Astyanax mexicanus: one gene and its partners. The protein of the gene in region 1 interacts with the protein of each later gene in a pairwise test. Links are inferred from orthologs where the notes say so. Each region holds a gene or a part of one and is shown in the gene's direction. Other genes may lie near its edges. The genes, in order: pih1d2, spred1 and eif4a2.

Region 1 (9,071 bases):
GTAAATAATATTTTAGAAGCATATAGAATTACATTAAACTAAAAGTGTACTTTGTATTAACCTATTTATTTTAAATACACTATATTGTAGTTTTTAAAAAGTATGATCAAAGATAACTTTACAACATTTGATGAAAGCATAATGTTAATGTACTTTTAATATATTTTAAGTAAGTACATAAATCTGTTATTATATTTACAGCATACTTAGACATTTCTCAATATGTTTTAAGTACAATTAAGTATATATCTTTTTTTCACCAGGGAGATCTTTCAGTTCCTAAAACTTTCCTAATTTCACTTGTGTTCAATCAGATAAACTTACCATGCTTTATTTTTGTAATTTCAGCTACAGGTTACCTCAGGTTTCCAGCTGGGTGGTCTATGCTGGGATTGTTACAAGAAATACAGCCAAACTGGCTCAGTATACAGGATATGCTGTGGAGAAAATCATCTACAATAAGAATTATAATCATAGAAGTCATGATAATGATATTGCGCTGATGAAGTTGAGAACACCGTTGAATTTTTCAGGTGAGAACTAAACATATGTACCATCAATTTTGTGTTTTGTTCATTATAATTGTAATTATTTTTCACTTTTCTTCCACTAAATGGACAAATATATTAGGACACCCAGGCATTACACTTTTATAAGCTTTTATTACACCCCATTCTAAATCTATGCACATTAATATTGACTTCCTTTTTAGTTTTAAGTATGTGTTTTTTAAACCTTATTTTTAATACACTTGAAGTATATTGCAAATGTACCACCTTACGTATTGATACTACTGGAAAAAAATACACTAAACTGCACTGTAAGCAGCATTTAATGCCAAGACATATATTTTCTGTTAACACAACATATAATTCAAAGCATATTCCTTTAAAATACATTTTATGGAAATACAGAGAAAGTATATTTAATGTGTATTTTAATTAAGTATATTAAATTAAAAATGCACTTTTAGTATTCTTTATCTAATTTGAGCATACTTTTAGTGCTCCTAAGTACACTTCCTTTTCACATGGGTTGATCCAGCTTTCTGTAACTTCACAATAATAATAATATATTAAGGAAATGCTGTAAATTGGAAGTGTTGAATTTGCATTTGGTACACTCAATATTTAGTACAAAAAGTGTACTAAGAGAAAGAGGGCATAATTAAGGGATTTAAAGATTTAAAGAAGAGTCAATGGATTTCAGATCTTTATCACAGTATTAAAAATTACCCCTTGTACCTAAAATATTATTATTATTTTTTTATAATTATATTATTAGATAATAATAGTATTTAATTTAAAAAATATATATTAGAATTTAAAGGTGATTGTCTATAGACCTTGGCTTCATTTCATTTAAAATATATTGTAAATATTAGTGTAAATATGCACTAATATGTGAGTAGTAATCCTTGTAATCATACATATTAATATTCTCACTATGGTTTATTTTGTTTTTCTTTCAACCTCAGACACTATTAGGCCAGCATGTCTACCACAGTACGACCATGACCTTCCTGGAGGAACGCAGTGCTGGATTTCAGGCTGGGGTTATACACAACCTGACGATGGTAAAGAAATCATTTCTTTATAAAACATATATAGAAACAACCGGTAGCAAATCTGCATCCACTAATATAGATATAAGTTTCAATATTACATTTGTGTTATTAGGCATGTTCCATGTATGTTACATATATAAATGTGCACACAAAATAACTTTAAAATAGCGTTTATTATGATTTTATCAGTCCTGATAGGAGTTAGTATTGTCCTCTGGTTTATCGATTTATTCATGTAAATATTAGTTTGTATAAACCACAGTTCTGTTTGGTTCATCATTATTTATTGTTTAATAAATTGCAAGATGATAAATTTGATTAAGTTCAGGTTTTGGTCTTCTTGAAAAAATGAAAATAGCTTTGCATCTTTTAGAAAATACAATGTGCATGCATATATAGTATTTTTTGTCATGAATATCAATTATTTAAACATGCAGTCAACCATTTGTTTAAAATGTAGACTTTATTAAGAGATAATCAAAGGAATTAGTGGACTTGCTTTTAAACATGCTTTTTAAATATCACATGAGTTTTAGTAACAGGACTAAGTAAAATGTAATTCTAATATTCAGATTAGAAACCTTAAAAAAATGTAAAAATTAGTAAAGCTGCCTGAGTTTGACCAGAACATGTTTTAAATAGTTAAATACATGTGTTATTAGATTTTTGAAAAGTGTAAAAAAGGTTTTAAAAAATTGAGTTTAGTTTGTAAGAGTTACAATAAGCAAATTGCACCCATTCAGTGGAATGGCCCAATAACAACAATATTTTTTTCTCTGCACAGTTCACATTCCTGACACATTAAAAGAGGCTCCAGTGCCTTTAATAAGCACAAAGAAATGCAACAGCTCCTGCATGTACAATGGAGAGATCACGTCACGTATGCTCTGTGCAGGTTATACAGAAGGCAAAGTGGATGCCTGCCAGGTAAGCTCCTAAAAAACTCAATAGATTATAAAGAGATCTTTAAAGGTCTCATTTTATCCTTTTTAAATTCATTTAAAACAGTCTAGTTGTGTCTAGTATAAATGAATGGCATGTCAGTAGTTTTTTTGTGAAAAAAGTGCTCAGGCGTTTCTGTTTAGCCCTGCTTTAGTTCACTGGATTAGTGGTCTCTGAAGAAAGACAGGTTTTGGCTTTTGCTCATAAATATTCATACATGCAAATATATCGCCTCTGATTGGCTAACAGCACTGCAGCAGAAAACGCGTACCTGCTGCCAACCCCCACAGTCAATTTTACAGCTCTAAAACTCAAAGAATAAAGTGTTTTCAAATATACATCCTTAGTTATAAAGATATAGCACTAGATAGAGTACTAGATAAAGTTAACTCTTAACTCCTAGATAAAGCTAACACTTAGCAACAGACTTGGGCGGACCAGCGGCCAAGAAACATTATCGCTACTAAACTCTTACCTCAGACTTGGTGATTCAGTGCTGGTGCAGTTTCACCACATCGAAGCCCCAGAGTCTATATGTGCTCTATATCATAAAATTTGATGCGAACAGTCCCCGTTTTGACCGGTGTTCTGTCGTGTTGTGCTATCTTGTCAAACTGTGCTCCCCTAGTGTATATTTAAGGTCTCAATAAAACATGGAATCCACCGGAGATCCGATTTAAACCTGCACAAGATAGATAACGCTAACTAGCTGCTGTAAACAGAAGCTGTATGCTCTACCTGTGGGCGTTCCTGAGCCAAGGTGGGCGAGGCTATGAAGTCACTGGTTGACGTGGACACTTTACTTCTCTCTAATCAACTTGTATTTCTGAGGATTTTCTTTTACTAACCTCTGCAGACAATGGAGGTTGAGAAATAGTTTCATATGCAGCATCGATATACAACTTAGAGAGATCTATAGAATTGTACAAATAACAAGAAAAAGTGGATTTTAGAAGTGCATGCTTGAATAACAGCAGCTAATAGAATGATGGTCTTTCTTCTCACACAGGGAGACAGTGGAGGCCCACTGGTTTGTCAGGATGATAACGTATGGAGACTGGTTGGAGTGGTTAGCTGGGGAACAGGCTGTGCGGAGCCCAATCACCCAGGAGTTTACACCAAAGTGGCTGAGTTTTTAGGCTGGATTTATGAGATGATAGAGGTAGGTCACAGTCATGTTCTGAGTGATGTACTCTACATGACTAAGCAGCTGTGCAGCCAGTGTGAATCACTGTGAATTTATTCCTGAAACTCTGAGATATGAATCATGAGATATGAATGTGTAATAATTTTCCCTCCACGCAGAGCTACTGAAGGATGGAGTGAAATTGCAGTCCAACACCATAACCTCCGGAATTCCTCCTTTTGCTGGATATTACAGACACCCTCAAGCTTTATTTTTTTATTGTAAAATATACAGTTTGCTATTCCATTTAGATGTTTGTAATAAACTTTGTGTTGTGTACCTTAAAACCTGTTCAATTGCTTTTCTTATACAGTACAGGCCAAAGGTTTGGACACACCTTCTCTTATTCAATGCGTTTTCTTTATTTTCATGACTGTTTACACTGTAGATTCTCACTGAAGCATCAAAACTATGAATGAACACATGTGGAGTTTTATCTACTTAACAAAAAATGAGCTGAACCTCCACAGTCACCGGACCTGAACCCAATCCAGATGGTTTGGGGTGAGCTGGAGCACAGAGTGAAGAAGACGAAGGAGCAACAAGATCAAATAAACACTTCTGGAAACTCGTTCCTTCTAGACTGTTTGAAAACTTTTCATTTCAGGTGGCCACCTCTTGAAGCTCATTGAGAGAATGATGCCAAAAGTGTGCAAAGCAGTAATCATAGCAAACGGGGGCTATTTTAAAGAAGCTAGAATATAAAACATGTTTTTAGTTATTTCAACTCCACATGTGTTCATTCATAGTTTTGATGCTTCAGTGAGAATCTACAATGTTAATAATCATGAAAATAAAGAAAACGCATTGAAAAAAAAAAGGTGTGTCCAAACTTTTGGCCTGTATTGTACATTACTGACACTTATATTTACATTTATGGCATTTATCTAACACTCTTATCCAGAGTAACTTGTAGTGTTTGGAGTCTTGCCCATGGACTCTTATTGGTGTATCACAGCATAGTCACCCAGACCTGGAAGGCAGTGGTGTTATCCACTGCACCACAACAACCACTTACGGGGATAAGGTTGAGTAAGTGTTTGTATCTCAAATTATCACTGTTACCATTGTTACCAGTTAGCATTATTAGAGATTTGAGTTAATAATATTGCATTATACAGTATTCTGTTTTTTTAGGAAACATGCGGGGCTCGTACCGCCATGAAAAACCTGAAAAAAGTAATGGAATTTGAACATAGCAATTTCCAGTCCTGGATAAATTTTGGAAAAATAAAAACATCCATACAGTTTTGGAAAAGCATTAAGAATTTGAATAATTTTGAATAATTTAATCTAAAAAATTGAATTTACTTTAAATTAGATATCTGGCTGCGTGGGTCCTACTCTTACTGGTGTTTTAGCTGCACTATAACTGTAAATTCACACAGAGAAATGATAATTTAATACTTTCTATCTTAATTCAGACAAATATAAGGCAAAAATGTGCAGAAATGTTATTCAGCTAGTAAAATGTGCGATATTTCAATGTTTTTTTCATCCATTTTATGTAAGATAAAGGCCTACTATAATCAGTTTTTACATGGATTTTTAGTTTTTTTTTTTTTTATTCAAGCATGTGATCATCCATCTTCCTTTTGATTATATTCCAAATGTTTTTTTTTTATTTGTTAAAATCAAAGAAACTCATCATTTTTAAGTGATCTCTTATTTCCCCCCCCAGATCTTTATATAAAGAGTGCAGCTTAGAAATGTAAGTATGTATAAATGAGGATTCAGCGCCCTCTAGTGGGCAATGTGGTACAGTGGTTACAGTGGACTCGTTGCTATTGGCAACAAGTAACACTAACTGCAGGTCAGGCAGCTGTAGCGAGTTAACGCTGGATAGTAACTTTTATTTTGTTGTTTTTCTGTTATTATTAGGCTTACAGCATATAAATAACTGTATTTGAGACTAGTTCAGGTTCGCTAATTTAATGTAGAGTCTTGATAGGTAACGTATTCCTGCATTATCGTGTCTAAAAGCTGTTTTTAGTTATTTATCTATAGGAAGGTTTAAGCTCCCTTCTAATAAAGCTGTTAACCATGGAGCAGAATGCTGTTCTTCAGCAGGTCAGCCAGTTCTGGTCTATTTTAGACGACATGTCTCAGAATAATCCTGAAGCCTACAGGACGTTTATTCAGCGGCATCTACGAGAGGGAGCGGACTGTTTATCCCCTCCACAGCCGCACTGCTGCATCAGCACTTCTATACAGGTATAGTACATAATAACTAACTTAATTTACCTGTTAATATAACTATAAAACTGTCGAAAATGCCAGAAAAAAAGTCATTACAGTACATGTCTGGATTACTTTATAGTTTGAAAGCTTAGTTTTCAGATGTTTGTAATGTAATACAGCATGAACTCATACTAAAGGCAAGGCAAGTTTATTTGTATAGCACCTTTCTTACACAAGAATAATTTTAAGTGCTTTAGAAATTAGAACAAAAATGGGAATAAAAATAAAATAAGAATAAAACATCAATAAAATATGTAAATAAAACAAATAAAATAAGAATTAAGAAGAATTAAAGTGGGGGTGGGCGATATAGCTCTAAAATAAAATCACAAAATTTATGATATTTTCACGATAACGATACTCTTGGCAATATGACAAAACACAAAATTAAAAAAAAAAAACAATATTTCAATAATACACTACTGCAACAAAATGAAAATTAAATTATATGGTACACCCCTAACTGAGATATTAAAAAATACTAGAATTTTTCAGATTTGTAACAGTCAATAATGCACTCCAGATATCTCCATATATCCAGGATTAAAGTAAAATAAATGATACTGGACAGATATAATCTGTCTCTAGTAGATATATAATGGGAAATTAGAACAGTGTGATTTTTTCTTTTGCTAAAAAAGTGCTAATTAGGGGTGGGTGATATGGCACAATATTTCAGGGTATAATATCATTCACAATATTCAATAAAAATGTTGGCGATATTATATGATATGGTATGCACCTAATTCAGATTATTTTACACTATTTTGAAACATTTCCAGAAACAGTTAGCTAAAGACACTAGTGTTTAACCCAACTTGTAAGACAATCATAATGACGAATCATAATTGAATAAATTATGATTTTATCTTATCCCATGCAGTATGTGCAAAACCAGATGTTCCTATTATTCCCTTTTTATCATTTAGAATTCCCCAGGCACAAACACTCTCCTTATAACAAAAAATGAGTGGCTAACTTGCTGTATAAATAAATAAATAAATAGGTTCATATTCATTTTGCCCCATATGCGTCCCTTAATTGTTTTCATGTATTTTAATATTAATTTACAATGTAGGAAATAAATTATATGAAGAAATTAAGAATAACACTGAAGGAGAAGGTTTGTCAAAACTTTTGACTTTTGACTGCTAGTGTCAAAACTTTTAGATTAAAAGCTAAATATGTCTACTTAGAAAAATCTAAAGTATAAAACATATTCTGAATTGTTAAACACTTTTTGCTTACTAAATAATAATAATGCAGTCTTCAATGTTACATTTACAATGTAAAAAAAATCCTAAAAAGAAAGAAAACACATTGAATGGGAAGAGGTGTGTGTACTATGTGTTCTAGCTAGAACTTCACGTCTTTACTCCTATATTTACATATATTATTTTACATATAGTATTATGCAGGTTTGTGGCTTACAGAATAAAACATATAATGTAGGAAATATCTCAAAATCATTAATAAGCATAGAATTCAAGGATTTAAAGTGTTTGTGTGTGTGTGATCTTTTCCAGAGGCCAGAAAAGGGAATACTGTATGTAAATTTGTGTGGATGGAAACGAGTGCCTGCACCCACCTCTCCTACTCAGCCCATTCCTGTGTGTGGTGGAAAACTGGAAACTATTAAGGAAAAGAATGGTAAATAATCTCCTGTCATATTTTTAATAAAGATTATGTAATCAGATTCTTTCTTCAGTCTTTCAAGCTTAGTTGAAAATAATTAGGCTACATTCACATTACTTAAGCCACATTGCTCAAATTTGATCCGATTTTGCTCAGATCAGATTTGTCTATCTTGATGGTTCACATTCACTTTAAATGTAAGTGACCTGTATCTGTGTGTAATGTGAGTGAATCTGAATCTGTTCCTGAAACGTCTCACATGCTGCACATTGATACCTGTATAAACGCCTCCTTTTTCACCAACAACTATTAAAAAAACTCATATTAGAGAGAGGAGAGACTCGTAGCTTTATAAAGGGAAATGGATGAGTTAGCAGCTCATATGTGGAGCATCTTTTGCTGGAGTGGAGAGTAAACAGCTGCTCTGAAGTTCATGCTCAGGTCCAGGAGGTGAAAAAAGGACAGGCGGTTTGCTTTTGCTGTTTTTTTGCAGCTATAGCTGCTAAGCTGCACCAAGAGATGTGGGTGTAGGTATGAAAGAGAAGCACGTAGCGCTAATGCTAATGCTAATGAGTAAAAGCAAAAAGACGCATGAATTTTGACTTGACCGTTCACATTCATGTTGCATGTCCATTGATCGGATACATATCCAATTTAGGACCGCATATGAAAGTGACTCAGATCTGGTTTAAAAAAATCGTATTTGGCATGTTTACACAGCCATGAAAACATCAGATTTGAGTCACCTCAGTCTGGTAATGTGAACTTAGCCTAAGTTAAACCATAAAGTTTATAGTAAAAACTACTGTAGTTTGTGGCTATGTATGGACCAATACTGTAGTAAAGTATCAGCACATTCTTCTTCTCAAGCACCTGTTACACAGTTTATCCTGTTTTTCAAATCAACAAATACATTCCTGTACTTTATTTTCCTTTGTCCTTATTTTACAGAAAATTATTCCATAGTGGAAGTGGCATTTAATCCTGAGGTTCTTCAGAGAGCTGAGGAAAACACACAGGAGAAGGAGCAGATCCATCTACTGGCTTTGAGCTTCATACAGCAGCAGCACAAACTCAGTCTGTCTCAGCAGGTCATGATCACTAAAACCAAACTAAAGGGCACCGTGCAGAATATGATACGCCGGCTTACACCACAACAACAACAAGACAAATCCAGCCCCTCCAAACCACTAACAGAACCTGGTAGGTGAACAGCATACAGATTAATGAAGGATTTTTTTATTAAAAGTATTATTCTAAAGCAAATTATCACCATTTGTGGATTTATATTAAAGGGGCACATTAAACTTTCTCAACCTTCATTATCTGCAGTAGTTAATAAAAGAAAAGCCTCAGAAAAGCAAGTTGATCAGGAAAAGCGCTGTGTCTACGTCAACCCGTGAATTAGTATTCATGGCCCCGCCCACCTTGGCTCACGACCGCCACTGTCTCTTCAGCTAAAGAGCTTACAGCTTCGGTTTACAGAGCTAGTTAGCGTTA
Region 2 (7,950 bases), on another chromosome or scaffold:
ACCATAATGGTCTAGCATTTAAGAACCAAAATTCTCCCAACAGCAGCACCTCTGCTGGATATCTGGGAGACTCCTTCGAGCTAAACATCCTGTTGACCTTCTGTTTGGTATATTTTGCTGTGTGATCAACACAGGAAATGCATGAACATCCATATTTGTGAGATGAGAAAGCAGCCTGACTTCCTGAACTCTAAATACTCAAAAGGATAGAAGCATGCTGTTTAGAAATTTCAAAGATGCTCATTGTCTTTCTGTTAAGGGGAGACAAGGCCTACTTTATTTGAGATTTGTAGCTCATGATGGGAAACTGTATTCTGAAAATAGATGCTCGATATTTTCAGGTAGTTGCTGTTTACACACTTAAGCTCTAATAGAAATACATATTGAAATGTTCTTCTTTAAGTAACAAAGTAAATAAGCTGAAACCTTTATCTGACCTCTGTGCTAGTATCACATTTTGGGGTCAGCTTTTAGGACAGAGATAAAGCACAGTCTTGGACTACACAGATTTGAGGACTAGTATTAATGACCCAGACTAGGATCAATGACAAAATGTCAATAGACTCTGTTGTTGGTGTAGGTCTTTGAGAATCAATTGGTTTGGCCTTCCATATACAAATGTTGCAACTTTAACTTTGCTCTATCTAATCCAAAGAAACACGAAGAAAATTCTCATATATGACAACAAAGCTAAGTCGTATCTCAAGCTTCTCCAAGACACAAATACAACCAAAGAAATCATATTATTTGTGGCTGCCTGTTAGGGTGTAACAAAAATATGGATATATTTTGTTTTAAATGTTTGTATACTGTATTTTCAATTAATACTGTATGTAAAAAAGAAACAGTGGTTTTCCAACATTTTGATTTAAACAATTGCAATATATTGCCTATATTGCCTACTGTTTATATACTGACCATAGACTGTGTATAGCTGGACAGAGCATCGTCTCTTAAAAGTGAAGCCACCACAGGTCGGGCGCCCCCTGCTGTTCGGCTGCAGAAAGCTGTGTAACTCCACCCATCCCCATAGGTTTCAATGGCAAAACAGACAACTTTCAATCACGTTTTTTTCTAATATACTGTAATTCTACCTCCATTATTTAAATGCAACAGCTAATGTAACCTCTGCTTATATTGTCAAATTTTTATATCCCCACAGAATTCGGTTTTTAAAACTTTATTCGGCTCTATTCAAAAAAGGTGTGGTTATGGTAAAAGGGCTGCTTATGGGCGGGACCAATAACAGACCGTCAGCTCCGCTCCGCCCCGCTCTGCAGTCTGTGACCGCGAGGCAGCCCTCAGGGGCGGGGTTATTCAAATGAGTAGGCGGTCTCTCCACAGCCTTTCTCCCTCCTTTGGTCTCTACTGCGCAGACTCTGGTCTCTGAATCGCCAAAATGGCGGAAGATTTTGGCTTCATTTTCATTGAATGAATGGGAACCGCGACACGACGTCCATCTTTATATACAGTCTATGATACTGACATACTGAATTATAAACGGTGTATCATGTCATATCGCCACGTTCTTGACAGTACACAGCACTACTTGCCGACTTTTAGAGGACAGGATAGATGTGATTTCCAACAGTCGAATTTCCTGTAGCCCATATGTGTTTGGTTTCCGAACTGTTCTATATCATATTAATTTATCTTATCCTTTTGTGGACACTCTTCCTCAATATTTCCAAAAATAACATATGTACCTATGGTATGTAAGCTTATTTCAGTTCTGCTTAAATTCAGTGTTAGAAAAGTCTGCCTTTAGTGTGGCATGTACATTTGAAAATCTGGACACACAGCCAGTTTTAGCTCATATGAATTTGTTTTTTAACTACAGTGTTTAAACCTGTTCTATTACCCTTTAGAGGATTATCAGCAGAGGGCACTTAGGCCTAATCCAGATAATCCTATAACCTAATCAAATAAATACTGTCTTTATTTTACAGTGGACTCTACATTTTACTGGTGCGTGTAAAAAAGTTATGGCATAATTTTTTTAACATATATAAAACAGAATAAGGGTCCAATCTCACTCATATGCAGCTTTACATACAACTACATAATGAAACTAGCTCACTTTTGTTTCACTGATTAATGCTCGTTGCTTCTTTTGAGAACTTTTAACTGTCATGGAACAACTGATGGTATATCGGTGTTTCTTTCAAAGAATACAATACCAGTCAAAAGTTTGGACACACCTTAAATTCAGTGTTTCTTTCATTATTTTAATTAAAATTTTCTGCATTGTAGATTAATACTCATTCAAAATATTAAGAAAAACATGGATTTTTTAATAATGTTTTAGATTTTTTTTGATGACAGCTTTGCACATCTTCTCATTGTCAGTCAACTTCATGAGGTAGTCATCTGGAGTGACTTTCAGTTAACTTGTCAAAAGCCAACTACAATAATTTCTTGCCCTATTAAATATGTTTGACACCATCAGTTATGTTGTGAAGAGGTAGAGTTGGCATACTAAATTACCCCTATTTGAGTAATGTTCTAATCCATATTATGGCAAGAGCTAACTACTCAACTTCAATTTTTTTTTTACTTTGAAAGTATCCTTAAGTGCAATCATAAATACCATCAAACATTATGATGAAACTGGCTCTCATCAGGACATGATTCCTTATGTGTTCCTACTTAGTTTGGATGACTTCAGTATGAATTTACTGAATTAATTTTATGTAGGAAAAAAATAAAATAAAAATAAAAATATTGGATAAGAAGGTGTTTCCAAACTTTTGTTTGGTACTGTATATTATGATTAAACAAAATAATTACTTGCAGTTTGTGTTGTTTTTCAGTGTCAAATATTTAGTGTGACATTTCAGATTTTATCAAAAGTTTTGTTTGGAAACAGCATGGGAAAAAAGTGTCAGTAGCATGTAATTAATTATTCGTTTTTTTTTCACATGTGAACGAGAGTAAACCATTAAAATAGATTACAGTGTTAGTAAATAATACACAATCAATGAAAAACACAGCAATCAGCTTTTTTTATTGACACGCCCAAAAACTTGGAAAGTCAGGGCTCATCAAGAAATCCAAGTTTCCCATTGGTAATTACAAGTGTGTGGTGGCATTTATGTGCACTCATCTCGTAAATAAGATATTTCGGACATGACTTGAAGGCAGCATAAGTTCAGCTTAGCCCAGCACTGCTTTAATTCAGTGTAATTCAGAAAGCTCTGTGTTTATGTGGCCTGTAGTTTTGAGAAACTGAGCAGCACACTTGGAAAACACACACTTGCAGATGAGCTCACACAACAAAAAGTGTGAACTTTGAGAGAAGCCATAAATCACAGTCAATGGCTCTTGTCTCTATAAAGCTAGTGCACTGAACTAGGTTAGCTAACTAACTTGAAAAAAAATAGACCACTTAAAACGATGAGATTCTTTGATTTTACCAAATTAAAAACCTCTGGAATATAATCAAGAGAAAGATGGATGATCACAAGCCAACAAACCAAGATGAACTGCTTGAATTTTTGCACCAGTAGTGGCATAAAGTTATCAAAAAGCAGTGTGTAAGACTGGTGGTCAAGATGCGTGAAAACTGTAATCAAAAACCAGGATTATTCCACCAAATATTGATTTCTGAACTCTTAAAACTTTAAAAATATGAATTTTTTTCTTTGCAATTTTTTTAGGTCTGAAAGCTCTGTATCTTTTTTTTTTTTTGCAATTTTAGCCATTTCTCATTTTCTGCAAATAAATGCTCTAAATGACAATATTTTTATTTGTAATCTGGGAGAAATGTTGTCCATAGTTTACGGAATAAGTCAAAAATGTTCATTTTACTCAAACACACACACACACACACACATATATATATATATATATATAGCACAATCACATAGACTGTAGTTTCTGGTGTATATTAACACCATAAGAATGTCTTCTACACATAAACGGTGCTTGCTGTATGTATTCGATGTAGAGCCAGTTGGGATACTTTTTAAGTATTTAAACAAATGTAACTAAAACTAAATATCACGCTAAATGAAAGTGGCGGCATTTGTCTTTATGTCTTCCTTTTTGTTTGTTTGTTTGCTTACTTGCTTGTAAGCATAATGTAAAGCAGAGAGTCCATCACCAGCGTGTGTAGCTTCTCTCGCTCTCCTTCTCCTCGCTTTCAGCTTGGGCTCCTCTGCTGCCTGCATGGCCAAACTTCTTTTGGGAACTGGTATGGGGACTATATGAAATCCTCACTTCCCGTCCCTGAATCAAGCTATTATGAGGGTGGGGGCATGTGGGAAATATTCAACGTTTGTGTTCGTTAAACAACAAATCACGCTAGTTGATTCGGTCTAAAAATGAGTTTGCTGTTTTGTTAATGGTGTTTTATTCGGGTTTCGTCGCGGAAGGATTTCAGCGGAGAAGTCAGGCCAAACGCTTCCGCCCAGTTTTCCGAGGTGTGCATTGCCTGAGTTGAAAATGGAGTTCGTGTAGCAGCACAGATCTTCTGAACTTCCCGAGGAGGAGACTCTGTTAATCTCGCTATTTCTTTAACGCGAATTCGTTGGATACTCAATTAAGGACAGATATTTATCGTTTCGTTCGTTGTTTTTGAGTGCCTGCGCTCGAGCCAGCTAGAGAGTTATAAACAGGAGCAGCGCTGTTTTGTGTTTTCTAGTGTTGGCTGAAACTTCAAGTTGCCGTGGGGAGAGAGAGAAAGAGAGAGAGGGGAGTTATATAGTATAACGTAGCGTAGCTCGATCTCCAGCTAGCCGGCTCACGGACCGTGGCAGATTTAGCTAGTAGCTACCTATCTATTTCTCGCTTTGTTTTGCTTGCAATCTGAAGATCAGGACTGCAATTCTGTCTGGGATTTGCCTGTGTTCGCAGATCGAGGATGAAGAGGACAGCCACTCGTTTCCAAATGGATTTTACTCATTGGGAAGATAGAGATCAGTGGCTGCGGTCGCCGTTCTTATTCTGAACTCGCCTTGTGGGAGAAAACTGGAAGCATGCAGCGCCCCAGCGCTACACAGTTGCTTTGTGATTAATAATAAAACAAAAAAAAACTGGCACTTTCTTTTAATGCGAACGAAAAGAAAATGGTGATATTTGCGGATCGTTTCCCAGCCTTGACTGCGTCGTCGATGCTGTTTCCAGGATTTGGATCCCCGTGAGAAAAAAATGAGCGAAGAATCGGCAAATCCAAACAACGAGTGAGTACCAATATCTCTCAGTTCACAGTTCCTCTGAGCTGCTGGACCCCGAGGATGTCTGTGTGTTTCTGTGTGTGTTTCTTGTGGTCTTAATGCATGACAGAGATCAGAAAATAACTAACTTACACGGGTTTGTTTGTAAAGCGAAGGTTTTAGTAGTTAAGTTAGTTAGCTTGCTAACTTAAAATATATTTCCAGCAGAGCCGTAATGTTATTTTTTTTTGTTTGTTTCTGAGCCAGTTTTATTTGGCTAGTTAGCGTTAGCTTGGATTTAGTTGTTGTCATGGTTATTGAATGTATAGTTGGGTTAATAGCTAAGCTAACGTAGCTAGCTAACTAGCTAACCTAACTAGTTAGTTAGCTGTTTAAACTTGTGTGTGTATATTATCTAGTTAGCTATCTAGCTAAATACCTCTAGCTAACAATGTGTTTTTGTTTTCTTTTTAGCTATCTATCTATGGTTTTCTGAATTAAATTTGCCTTATTAAAAAGGCCCATTCAGATATTTAACGCTGTCTAACCTAGCGTTAGTTGACCATCTAGGCTATCTATTTAGCGAGTATGCTGGGTCGTTTCTAGTTAGGATAGCTAACTAGCTATATTATTTAACAGTAGTTTATTTACATTATTCGATAGCTAGTTAGTAAAATACACGATTTAACCAGCTAACAGTAAAATTTCTGTAGTTCTCTCGAAGCATTCGTAGAAATAACTATCGCTACGTTGTAAATTAGATTTAAGTGGATGGCTAGCGTAAGTAACAAGTTTATTAACGTTGTATCTGATACAAGCGTTACAAAATACACCCGTTTCAAACGAATAAAGCTCCCAAACTGAGCTAGTTAGTTAATAGACACGTCTTTTCTACTCCACGGTTTTGTGTTTTTTGCCCACAATGAAACGCGGTTTCGCCTTATAAAAACATATCCACGATCTCTGGAGCGAGAGCTGAGAGCCTTATTTCGATTTAACAGTTATATGATTTTTTTAAGTATTAAAGAACATGTAATACGTGGCATTTGGTTTCGTTTGCGGGTTTTATTACCGCAATGTCAGGCTGAAAGAAACTGTGCGGACGCCATATTTTTCTCAATCACTCTCATTTGCATATCACAATCCTCATTCATAAAAACGCCAAAATGGCAGTGTTTGTCGCTCAGATTAGGCCCAATTGAGAGTATAAAGGAATATATTCGATTAACAGTGCGAGTAAGGCTGTTTTCGTGCGGATTTTGGTGCTTTTCTCGCCCTCCGTGCCCGTGTTTTTTTTAAATGGGCTGATCGCTTGCGTGCGCTTGTTGACAGTCACTGAGAAAAGCTTCGGCCACGTGACCGCCTCCATTCATAAAGTACCTGGCTTCTCATTCACACTGAGCTGCACTGTACAGTGTGTCTCCACACTGAGCACAGGGGTCACACAGCAGATCACAGACCCAGCAACGACAAATATTCATCTGTTTGACTCTTAGCTATATCTGTACATCTTATTTTAGGCCATTTTTGTCAGCAGCAGTAAACGACGACGTGCACATTCACATTCACGGTTTCCCAGGCTCTCTCTCTGTCAGTATCTAATACGCCCATGTTCTCTTGCCATGTCTCTCCTGTATCAGATCCATTCATGTCATGTAGCTAGGAACTCTGTGTCCTTGAACTAGTCATGTGCTTCCACAAATGATGCCATTCATTCACGTTTCATTTGTCCCTTTTTTACACTGAAGGGAAATCTCCAATAATATAGCACAGATATCTACACATTCCACAGCTATTTATTTATTTATTTTTATTTTAATTATTCATCACAATGCTCATTCATGGTATAGACAGTCTTGTTGACAGTCCTTTTGCGCAATGCTTAGGATCAGCAAATGCTGCTGGTGTGGTGAGGCGGAGGAGGGTGGAGAAGAAAGAAGAGACAGCACATGCCCAAGAAGCAAGACGACACCATCCTTTAGCAAATTTTCCCTCCTCTTTCAGTTAAACAATAAACATCCCCGCTTAACAGTGTGGGTGATATTTGAGCCGCCCAGAAACAAAGGATTATATACATGTCTGTTTGTGTGTTTTCCATTTCTAACAGCGTGTCGCCTCACCTGTGACGCAGTGTTGATTTCGCATTGTTCCAGAAAGTATACATGCATCATCACTTGCTGACAGTCTTCCACATTTTTACCTTCATTCCTGTGATGCTAGATTAGATGCTGGTAGTGATACGCTGATTAAATCTACAGTATGTTTTTGTAATCATGTACCTTTCATTGCAACAAGCAGAGATCACATGATCACTCCTGCTCAAAATCATCCAACAGTACCAGTTAGTATGTAGGATAAGCATCGATTTAGGCCAATGAAGGCAAAATCGTTTGTAGATCACAGTTTGTGACTTATAAGCATTTTGCGGAAATTATATCTACCGTAAAAAGTGTAAATTTTAGCAGAGAGCAGGGCTTATTAGCTATTGTATAATGTAGTAATACATTACACTGCTATTGCTAGTTTTTGTACTTTTTTTTTTTTTTTTACTGATGGACCACTAAAGCTCAGTTATAACTATGGCCATACCGCTGGAAATCCATGTCTATTTCTGTCATCAAAATGGGCAAAAATATATTTAAGTACTAAATAGTCCTACATTTTAGTGAGACAGTGATTTGATCATTTTGGGACAATAATACTATCCAGTTTTTTAATGTATACATCCACAATATGCTGAAACTAGCAATTTTGAGGTATATAACAATTATTTATGGAACCCAAATGGAGTAAA
Region 3 (8,090 bases), on another chromosome or scaffold:
GGAATCTTTTCAAATTGTTCTTTCTGTTTTTTTTTTGTAACTCTATAAAAGTTATTTCTGGTGGTTAAAAGTGAAAGCAGTCAACTAAGATGTGTTTAATAGATGTATAATAGGAGTATCACAGAATTGGCACGCTCGAGTCTGTTCACCAACTAGGAGGTGGTGGTGGGTAAGAGCAGTCCAAGAGCATGTCCAATTCGGCTCCTAGTCATGATTGTCCGATCTTGTCTATTAAGGAAGTCCTTTTTGTATTTAATATTAATGATGGGGAATATTTCATACAGTTTATTTTGTGGATTTCTGTACCATTTTCTTCTACAGTGAACTTTCGACTAGAGGGTAGGCATCCATAATCGTAATATAGTTCTAAGTGAGTTCCTGGTTTCTTGCTTCCCTTGCTAAAATTAAACATATGACATTTAAAGAGAAATAAAAACATGTCCAGTCACACAAACAATTACACATACAAATGCTTTCACTTAAAATTCACTGTGCTCTTATTTATTAACCTGCAACAATCCTATATAAAAGCAACTCAACCCAAACAGATTAAGGAGAAAATAATTCTGCTGCTATTTTATGAGATGAAATCAAAACTCAAGACACCCATTTACTCCAATAGCAGCATCAAATTGTATTTTTACTCACCACTAAAAATGTGTTCCACAGGTCTAGGAATTTGAAGCGTCCAGCCAGTACTAAATTCCAGTAGGCGATTGCCATTTCTAAATCTAGAACAAAGCAAACAAATACAAGGTGAATAAATTTAATGAACATAAAAAAAATGACTTAAAAAATTTCCTCTAACAGAATAAATGAATGATTTCCTACCCAATCCTTTCTGTCCAGGATTCTTTGCAAAGTTGAAGGTAAACTGATAGAAGTCTTTAAATTTCCCTTGGTCCTTTAACTCCTGCTCCATTTTGGGTAATTGTGCTTTAAGCTTCTCTATGCTGTCACATCTACAGAAAGAAGAGGAATATTCAATATTCAAAGCTACGGTAGAAATACCGTAGGTACCGAGATAAAAAATAATTCATTCAAGACATGTGAAAACAACTGAATGCCACTTTATAAATCCCCGGAAACAAAACGAAAGAAAGCAAGAGAAAAATCACCCTTGTTCTGTCATTCCATCCATGAATTCCTGCTTTGAAAACTCGCATTGCGTTGCAGCACGAAACTTCCAGGCAATCAGTAGCACACTTATACTGGCTGGATCGAGACCCAGGTCATCACAGAACTGCTGAATGCCATCTATACCAATCTTATTGTCATCATGAGGGTCTGTGAAAGTGACGAAAAAAACATTTTTAATTTCACACATTAAGTTTCTAAAAAAAAATAAACCATCATTGATCATCAGTAAATTTAGCTTTTCATTTGGAAATCAAGGGACCAGAGTCTGGAGAAAAAGTGAAGAGTCTAAACAGTGCTGGTGTAGAAACACCTTTAGAAACCTGCACTTACCTCTGTACCGATTGTAGAGCTGTTCTAACTTTTTCTTGTCAAACGACCCCTTTAGGTTTTGTACATAGAGTTCGGGATTCTGGAAGAAGTTGTCTGTGGCGACCTCTAGTTTCCATTCATTCTGAGACAAACAGTTTAGTGCGGTTTTCTCATTGGACTGGGTGAAAATCATGAACTGGCGAACTTTATCCTTCTGTGAGGATTTCAGCTTGTTCTGTTTGGGAAAGCACAAACAATATTAGCTGATTAAGGTGTATTTATATTAAACATTGATAATATGTTGTGTTACACATATACTTCAGACCACCTGTTTACTCTCCACTCCAGCAAAAGATGCTCCACATATGAGCTGCTAACTCATCCATTTCCCTTTATAAAGCTACAAGTCGTCTCTCAGGCCAGGCGGTTTGCTTTTGCTGGGTTTTTTTTTTTCAGCTATAGCTGCACAGCTGCACCAAGAGATGTGTGGGTACGAGAGAGAAGCACATAGTGCATGCATAAAAGCAAAAGATGCATGAATTCTGCATGATTTGACCATTCACATTAATGTTGCATGTTCATGGATTAGATTTGTATGTGATTTAGGACCACATATGGAAGAAACTCAAATCTGATTTGAAAAAAAAAATGGATTTGGCACAATCACACAGCTCTATCTAAGCCACATTGAGCAAAAAAAAAAAATCTATTTGACTCACTTTAGCCTGGTAATGTGAACGTACCCAATGTGACTTCAATCTGATTTTTAAAAATCTGATTTGGCACGTTCACACAGCCATGAAAAAATCGGATCAGATATGAGCCAATGAGCAAAAAAATAATTTAAGTCACTTAAGCTTGGTAATGTGAACGTAGCCTTGTTAGTGTAGGGCAGCGTTCAGTCACCCAGACTGGGAAATAAACCCCTGTCTCCCAAATGATGTGGTAGCTCACAAGTAGGTAGTGGTGTTATCCACCGCGCCACACAAACCGTTACCAAACCAGGGCTGTTTTACATGTTTTAAGTTGTATTTTTCTCGGATAAACTGGATTGTAGTATTAGCTAGCCCTCCGTTTTAATCCGAAACCAAAACAGGCCTGTCCATTTTAGCTAATCCTCATCCTCGGGCTTTCCTGTCCATCTCCACACCTGAGTGGGCTGTGTATAAATAAGCCCCTCAGGTGTACACCCCTGCGCTCCGGGCAGTGTGGAGATGGGGAGCTTTAGCCGGTAAGCTAGTTAGCTAGGTTAACTCTGTAACCCGGTGTTCTGCCGAGTTGTGCTACCTTGTCAACCCGTGCTTCGCTAGTGTATATTTAAAAGGTAAACATACAAAATAACACAATATTATAGCTAGCATGTTTCTAGTAGAGGTCTATGTGCTGTTTTTGAATAGCATAAAGCACTGTCTCAGCGTAAAGTTATGGTAAAGAGAGGTTATTCGAATCTGCTTTATATATTTTTCAAATAATAATTTTGTTTACTATTAATATTAATTGTCATTTACACTTTTATGTAATGACATTTAAATTAATCAAAAACACAGGAAAACAAAGAATAAAATAATCATTATAAAAAGCACGAAAAATAATAATAAAATATGTATGTCAGCGCATGCGCAGTGCCTTTAGGAAGCACGTATCGACGGGTAGCATAACACGACAGAACACCGGGCTGAACAGAGTAAACCCAGCGGCTTTTCTGAGCGTTTATCCTCCTCCACAGCGCTTCCTCCACCCGAACCAAAGAGCAGACCATCGGGAGACACCCCGTAAAATGTGTAAATCAGGTTATCCGCAGCGCAGTCCGCCGACAAAACCAATAAACTTCTATTTTTTGTTCTCATTTACCATGTTTGTGATCTCCAGACACCCTCTTCCGCTCTCCCTCACGACCCGTCATCTATTTCCGCTACTGCGCACTGGGCTTTCCTCCACTTTCTGTTTTTTTTTTCTTTTTTCCTTTTTTTAACTAAATATCCAGCTGGTATTTCAGCGTTAAATCAACGTTGGGTTTGGAACAGTGTTGATTTTATAAAGTGAATTAACATTTATATGGCAACTTCTACCATAACATCAACGTTGAAATGCCAGCTGGGTATTCTATTTAAGAAAAAAAGAAACAAATCGACGTCGTACGTTCATCCTTTAATAAAACATAGCTCACACTCGAGATTCTCAAAATTGTATAGATGAGAAAAAAACACTGTATGCCATGATGAAAAATTATCAACCTTTGTAATGTCTGCAATGTCTGTTCTTATTTTAACGTTGAAACAACATTATGTCCTCAACTTTCTGCCTTTTCAATTAGCATTTTACATTTATCATCATACAATTTCAAAAAAACGGTTGAATGGAGGAATGAAAGTGGTTTTACTTTCATTTGCAGTAACTGCTTTTTAATTTGGCACCAATTCTTTACGATACCTGTACTGTAAAGAATATAATAATGACTAAAATATAACATAAATAATTAGATCAATATGAACAGAAATACATGGGAAAACGAATTAATAACTATTTATGCGTTTAAACGTTTTTTCCCTCTTGAGGGCGCTAGATATCATTATCTACCATGCACAAAAAATAAGAGACCACTTCCGTTTCTGAATCAGTTTCTCTGATTTTGCTATTTAAAGGTATATAATATTGTACATTCATATTAATGAATCTACAATGTAGAAAATAAATTAAATGAAGAATTAAAGAAAAACATTTATTGAGAAGGTGTTTGCAGACTTTTGACTGGTACTGTAAATGTCCTAACTTTACCTGGAACTATCTAATTCATGCAAATCCTATAAAAAGTCATAATTTTATAATTCATATATCCAGCAGTAGAAAGCTAACAGACCCAGGCCCAGGCCCAGGCCAGTAGTACAGCAGCAGCAGCAGGCCAGCCACAACTGCTGGAGACCCCGTAGCGACCGCACCACGCCTCCACATTGCGGCAATATCAATGCGCCTCGCGATATAGTCCTGCGTATAGATTGCCAACCTTCGTTGTAAATAACGGGAATAAACGGCGTTAAATCGTCTCTGAAAATTATTCATTATCGTAGCTGGTGCAGAAGGTGTAGAATCCACAGCAGAAAGAGGCACAGGTGCAGCGTTTCATGCATGTCCGGTATGTTACGGTGGGAAAAGAAAAGGAGTCCCGGTTAGATAAATTCGCCGGAGGATCACTCGCTCCTCCTTTCCGAGTGAATGCCGAAGTCGCGAACGGATCATGTCTAGCGGTTCTGCCGATTACAACAGGTATTTCGCCTTAATATCAAGCTAATTCGGTTTGTAACGGCGTAAATAAGATCTTCTCTCATAAATAGCGCGGTTTTGTGTGTATTATTTAATTAAACGGGCGGTCTGTGGCTGTGGCGCCGCACCGCGGCCTGCGCCACACCAGCATTTTTATTAGCTTAGCAGTTTAGCTAACGTTAATTAACGCTAACTACCAACAGCATGAAACCGGGTTAAAACACCTTATTTTTAATTATTTTGTGTTAATTGGGTATTAAAATACACATTGTTTATATATATTTTAATGAATGTGCTAGAAAATGAATTAATATGCAATTTAGCGTATTTATAGCTCAAAGTTTGCTTCTCAGTACTGCGGCCTAGCTAAAAGTCAGTTAGCTTAGCCTTTTAGCTAACGTAGTTAACACTAATTACCAGCAGCATGAAACCTGTTTAAAACGACTTTGTGGTGTTTGGGTGATAAAATACATGTGTTTTATATGTTCTAATTAATGTGATGGAAATATTAATTTATATCCATTTTAGCGTTTTTTTTATGTAGCTCCAAATTTGCATCTCAGTACTGCGACCTAGCTAAAAGCTAGGCTAACCTGTTTTTCAGATTTATAGCCAAATATGGTTAAATCAGCTTTTAGCTTAACTTAATATTTAATATTAAGTTTATAAGCTTAATATTTGAGTAATATTAACCTAGCCGACTAGTTAAGCAAGGCTTGTAATATCTAATCTGGAGTAAAATTGTAAACTGTGTTCGTTCGTTCTGTGCATAAATAGATAATACTAGACCTAAACATGGCTATAGCTGCTCAAATTTACCATAAAATGACGAGCTGGAAAGCTTCTGTAGAAGATGGGTCACTAAAGCTGGTCTGGGTGTTATTAGTGGTGGTATGTGTCACTGTAATGGGAGAGACTGGGCTCTCTTCGCACACTTCATCCACGTGGCATGCAAGGAACGCAGCCCCTCTCAACACAGTACAACACTGGGAGAGTCTCTATTACTCGCATTTAGTAAGAGCTTTTATGTAATCATGATGATATTTGCTCTAAATATGTGTGTGAGAGGAAGAAAGTTAACTTTTTGTACAACCTGTGGACATAATTGTAAATTGTATTACCACGTGGATGGATGGATTAATAGATAGTCTTGTCAGAAACCTGTATCATAAGAGGCCAGTTTGCATTGCTTATTTTTTGTGTTTTCTAGCTCCAGAGATCGAGACCATGGGGGGCCAGAAGGAATGGAGCCTGATGGTATCATCGAGGTAACTAGCTAGCTTAGCTAACTAATGGGAAGGAATATAGGCATTTTATTGACACTTTCAATGGTAAAACCTTTGGGATCTTCCAAGAGTCTTTTCCATGCTGAAGATAAGGCTTTTTGTTTGTTGTGAATTTCAGATGTGATCTTGTTTAATGAATAAAGAGTCTGTTAGAATATAAGACTTCTGTATATAGATAGATAGATGTGCAAATATAGAAAATAAAGTTGTCATTCTCAATCCCCCCCCCCTCCACCCAAACCTGTTACTGTCTCTTGTTTGCATAATATTTGTATCATTTAGCGTTTATCTAGGGTGATTAATGAAGGGGCTTTGCTAAAGTTAGACTCAAAAGGACCTTAATTCTTTAGTGACGCCTGATTTAATGATCATTATTAATGTTCTAGATACCGATCTCTCATAGTACCTCACAGCGGATTAGCCCACTTTTATTATGGTTTCTGTGGGTTTTATTTTATTTATTTTTTTGTTAATATTAATTTAAGCCTTAAGCCTTTTATAGTGCAGGGAAAACAATTTTCAATGGAAGTAGTTACAAACAGACTTTTTCAAGAATTTCTGTTGAACCATCAATCATGAAATGACAGTGACAGTGACTATGAATTCTAAGCACGCTTTTGTAGCATTTATGCAAGTAAGAACTCATTCAACTGGGTTTAACTCAGATTCTTCTGCCTTGCAGAGCAACTGGAATGAGATTACAGACAATTTTGATGATATGAACCTGAAGGAGACTCTTCTCCGTGGGATTTATGCATATGGTTTCGAGAAGCCGTCAGCTATTCAGCAAAGAGCAATTATTCCTTGCATAAAAGGTGATTCTGGGAAGCTGATTGGGGAAGGGATGGCAACCGGTATTTAATGCACACTTGTGTTGCAGTTTCTTGAATGTTGTATTATATTTTTCAGGCTACGATGTCATTGCCCAAGCCCAGTCAGGAACTGGCAAAACGGCCACGTTTGCCATCTCCATCCTGCAGCAATTGGAGATTGAGCAGAAAGAGACTCAGGCTCTGGTCCTGGCACCAACCCGAGAGCTCGCTCAGCAGGTATGCTGTACCCGAGGTCATGATAAACTTAAGTGTGTCTCAGACCAAGGCGGCATATTTGGGCAGTAACTGAAACAAAGGTACAGTTTGAATCTTCTTCCTGCTATGTAAATGGTGACATATGGACTTTGTTTCAGAATATTTCCTTGTTTGGTGTTTAGCAGGGAGCAGAAGTTCAGTTTCAGTATAAGTGTGTGAAGCAGTTTCTTTTAAGTGACATTCTTTTATTTTATTTCTTGTTTTTGTAGATTCAGAAGGTCATCTTGGCCCTGGGTGACTACATGGGCGCCTCATGTCACGCCTGCATTGGAGGAACCAATGTCCGCAATGAAATGCAGAAACTCCAAGCAGAAGCCCCGCACATTGTTGTGGGGACTCCAGGCCGTGTGTTTGACATGCTGAACAGGAGGTTCCTTTGTAAGTGTCTGAATCTAAAACAGCTGTTCAACAGGTTTCTCTGTGTTGGATTAAGTGTGAAATGATGGTTTACCATCTTTCGGGACTGACAAGTCATGGAGATATCTTTTTAACTATTTTGCTGATCATGCTTATTTCCATCATAGTATTTATAATGCAGATTGCACTTTAGTATTAACAGTTAACCAACTGCAACATTTCTCACTTTCTGTAGCTCCTAAGTGGATTAAGATGTTTGTCCTGGATGAAGCAGATGAAATGCTGAGTCGTGGATTTAAAGATCAGATTTATGAAATTTTCCAGAAATTAAGCACAAACATTCAGGTGAGTTCAGTAAATCAGATCTTATGATTTTCTTCCATACAAAAGAACTGTGCTGAAATTACAGGATCTAGGTTCTCCTGGTTCGTGTGATAATGCTAGCAGAGTAAAAACATGGAAGAAGAGCAAGTGCCCTACACCGGAAATGAAATGTGGTCAGACCTCTTTCTTAATGTCCAGTGGCCCCTGTTTCAAGGTTTAGTGCAACAGTTATTCTAAAGAGTAAGATCTGTTAAAAAACTGGAAGGAAACCTAATGAGTGGCATAATGAGCACTGTGTGATTCTCTGCAGGTTGTGCTGCTTTCGGCC

What was found.
Region 2: the proteins of pih1d2 (region 1) and spred1 interact in binary tests that used the Homo sapiens proteins (3 or more experiments, as listed by UniProt). The link is inferred for Astyanax mexicanus from reciprocal best matches to the Homo sapiens genes PIH1D2 and SPRED1.
Region 3: the proteins of pih1d2 (region 1) and eif4a2 interact in binary tests that used the Homo sapiens proteins (3 or more experiments, as listed by UniProt). The two-hybrid records come from large-scale screens. The link is inferred for Astyanax mexicanus from reciprocal best matches to the Homo sapiens genes PIH1D2 and EIF4A2.

Annotation. Positions count from the first base shown.
Region 1 is NC_064425.1:3,955,640-3,964,710, reverse strand, and holds the start of pih1d2 (PIH1 domain-containing protein 2), read left to right. Parts: upstream 1-5,350; 5' UTR 5,351-5,738; coding exon 5,739-5,909; intron 5,910-7,462; coding exon 7,463-7,586; intron 7,587-8,522; coding exon 8,523-8,774; intron 8,775-9,071. Other genes in the region: tmprss5 (transmembrane protease serine 5), read left to right, coding at 349-533, 1,478-1,576, 2,352-2,494, 3,519-3,671, 3,815-3,823.
Region 2 is NC_064421.1:14,570,044-14,577,993, reverse strand, and holds the start of spred1 (sprouty-related, EVH1 domain-containing protein 1), read left to right. Parts: upstream 1-4,309; 5' UTR 4,310-5,151; coding exon 5,152-5,183; intron 5,184-7,950. UniProt on the Homo sapiens protein: Tyrosine kinase substrate that inhibits growth-factor-mediated activation of MAP kinase. Negatively regulates hematopoiesis of bone marrow.
Region 3 is NC_064415.1:55,387,206-55,395,295, forward strand, and holds the start of eif4a2 (eukaryotic initiation factor 4A-II), read left to right. Parts: upstream 1-4,602; 5' UTR 4,603-4,681; coding exon 4,682-4,710; intron 4,711-5,917; coding exon 5,918-5,975; intron 5,976-6,675; coding exon 6,676-6,808; intron 6,809-6,902; coding exon 6,903-7,042; intron 7,043-7,290; coding exon 7,291-7,459; intron 7,460-7,513; exon of another isoform or gene 7,514-7,590; intron 7,591-7,673; coding exon 7,674-7,783; intron 7,784-7,813; exon of another isoform or gene 7,814-7,992; intron 7,993-8,072; coding exon 8,073-8,090. Other genes in the region: dcun1d1 (DCN1-like protein 1), read right to left, coding at 649-731, 832-962, 1,119-1,287, 1,471-1,684, 3,301-3,303. UniProt on the Homo sapiens protein: ATP-dependent RNA helicase which is a subunit of the eIF4F complex involved in cap recognition and is required for mRNA binding to ribosome.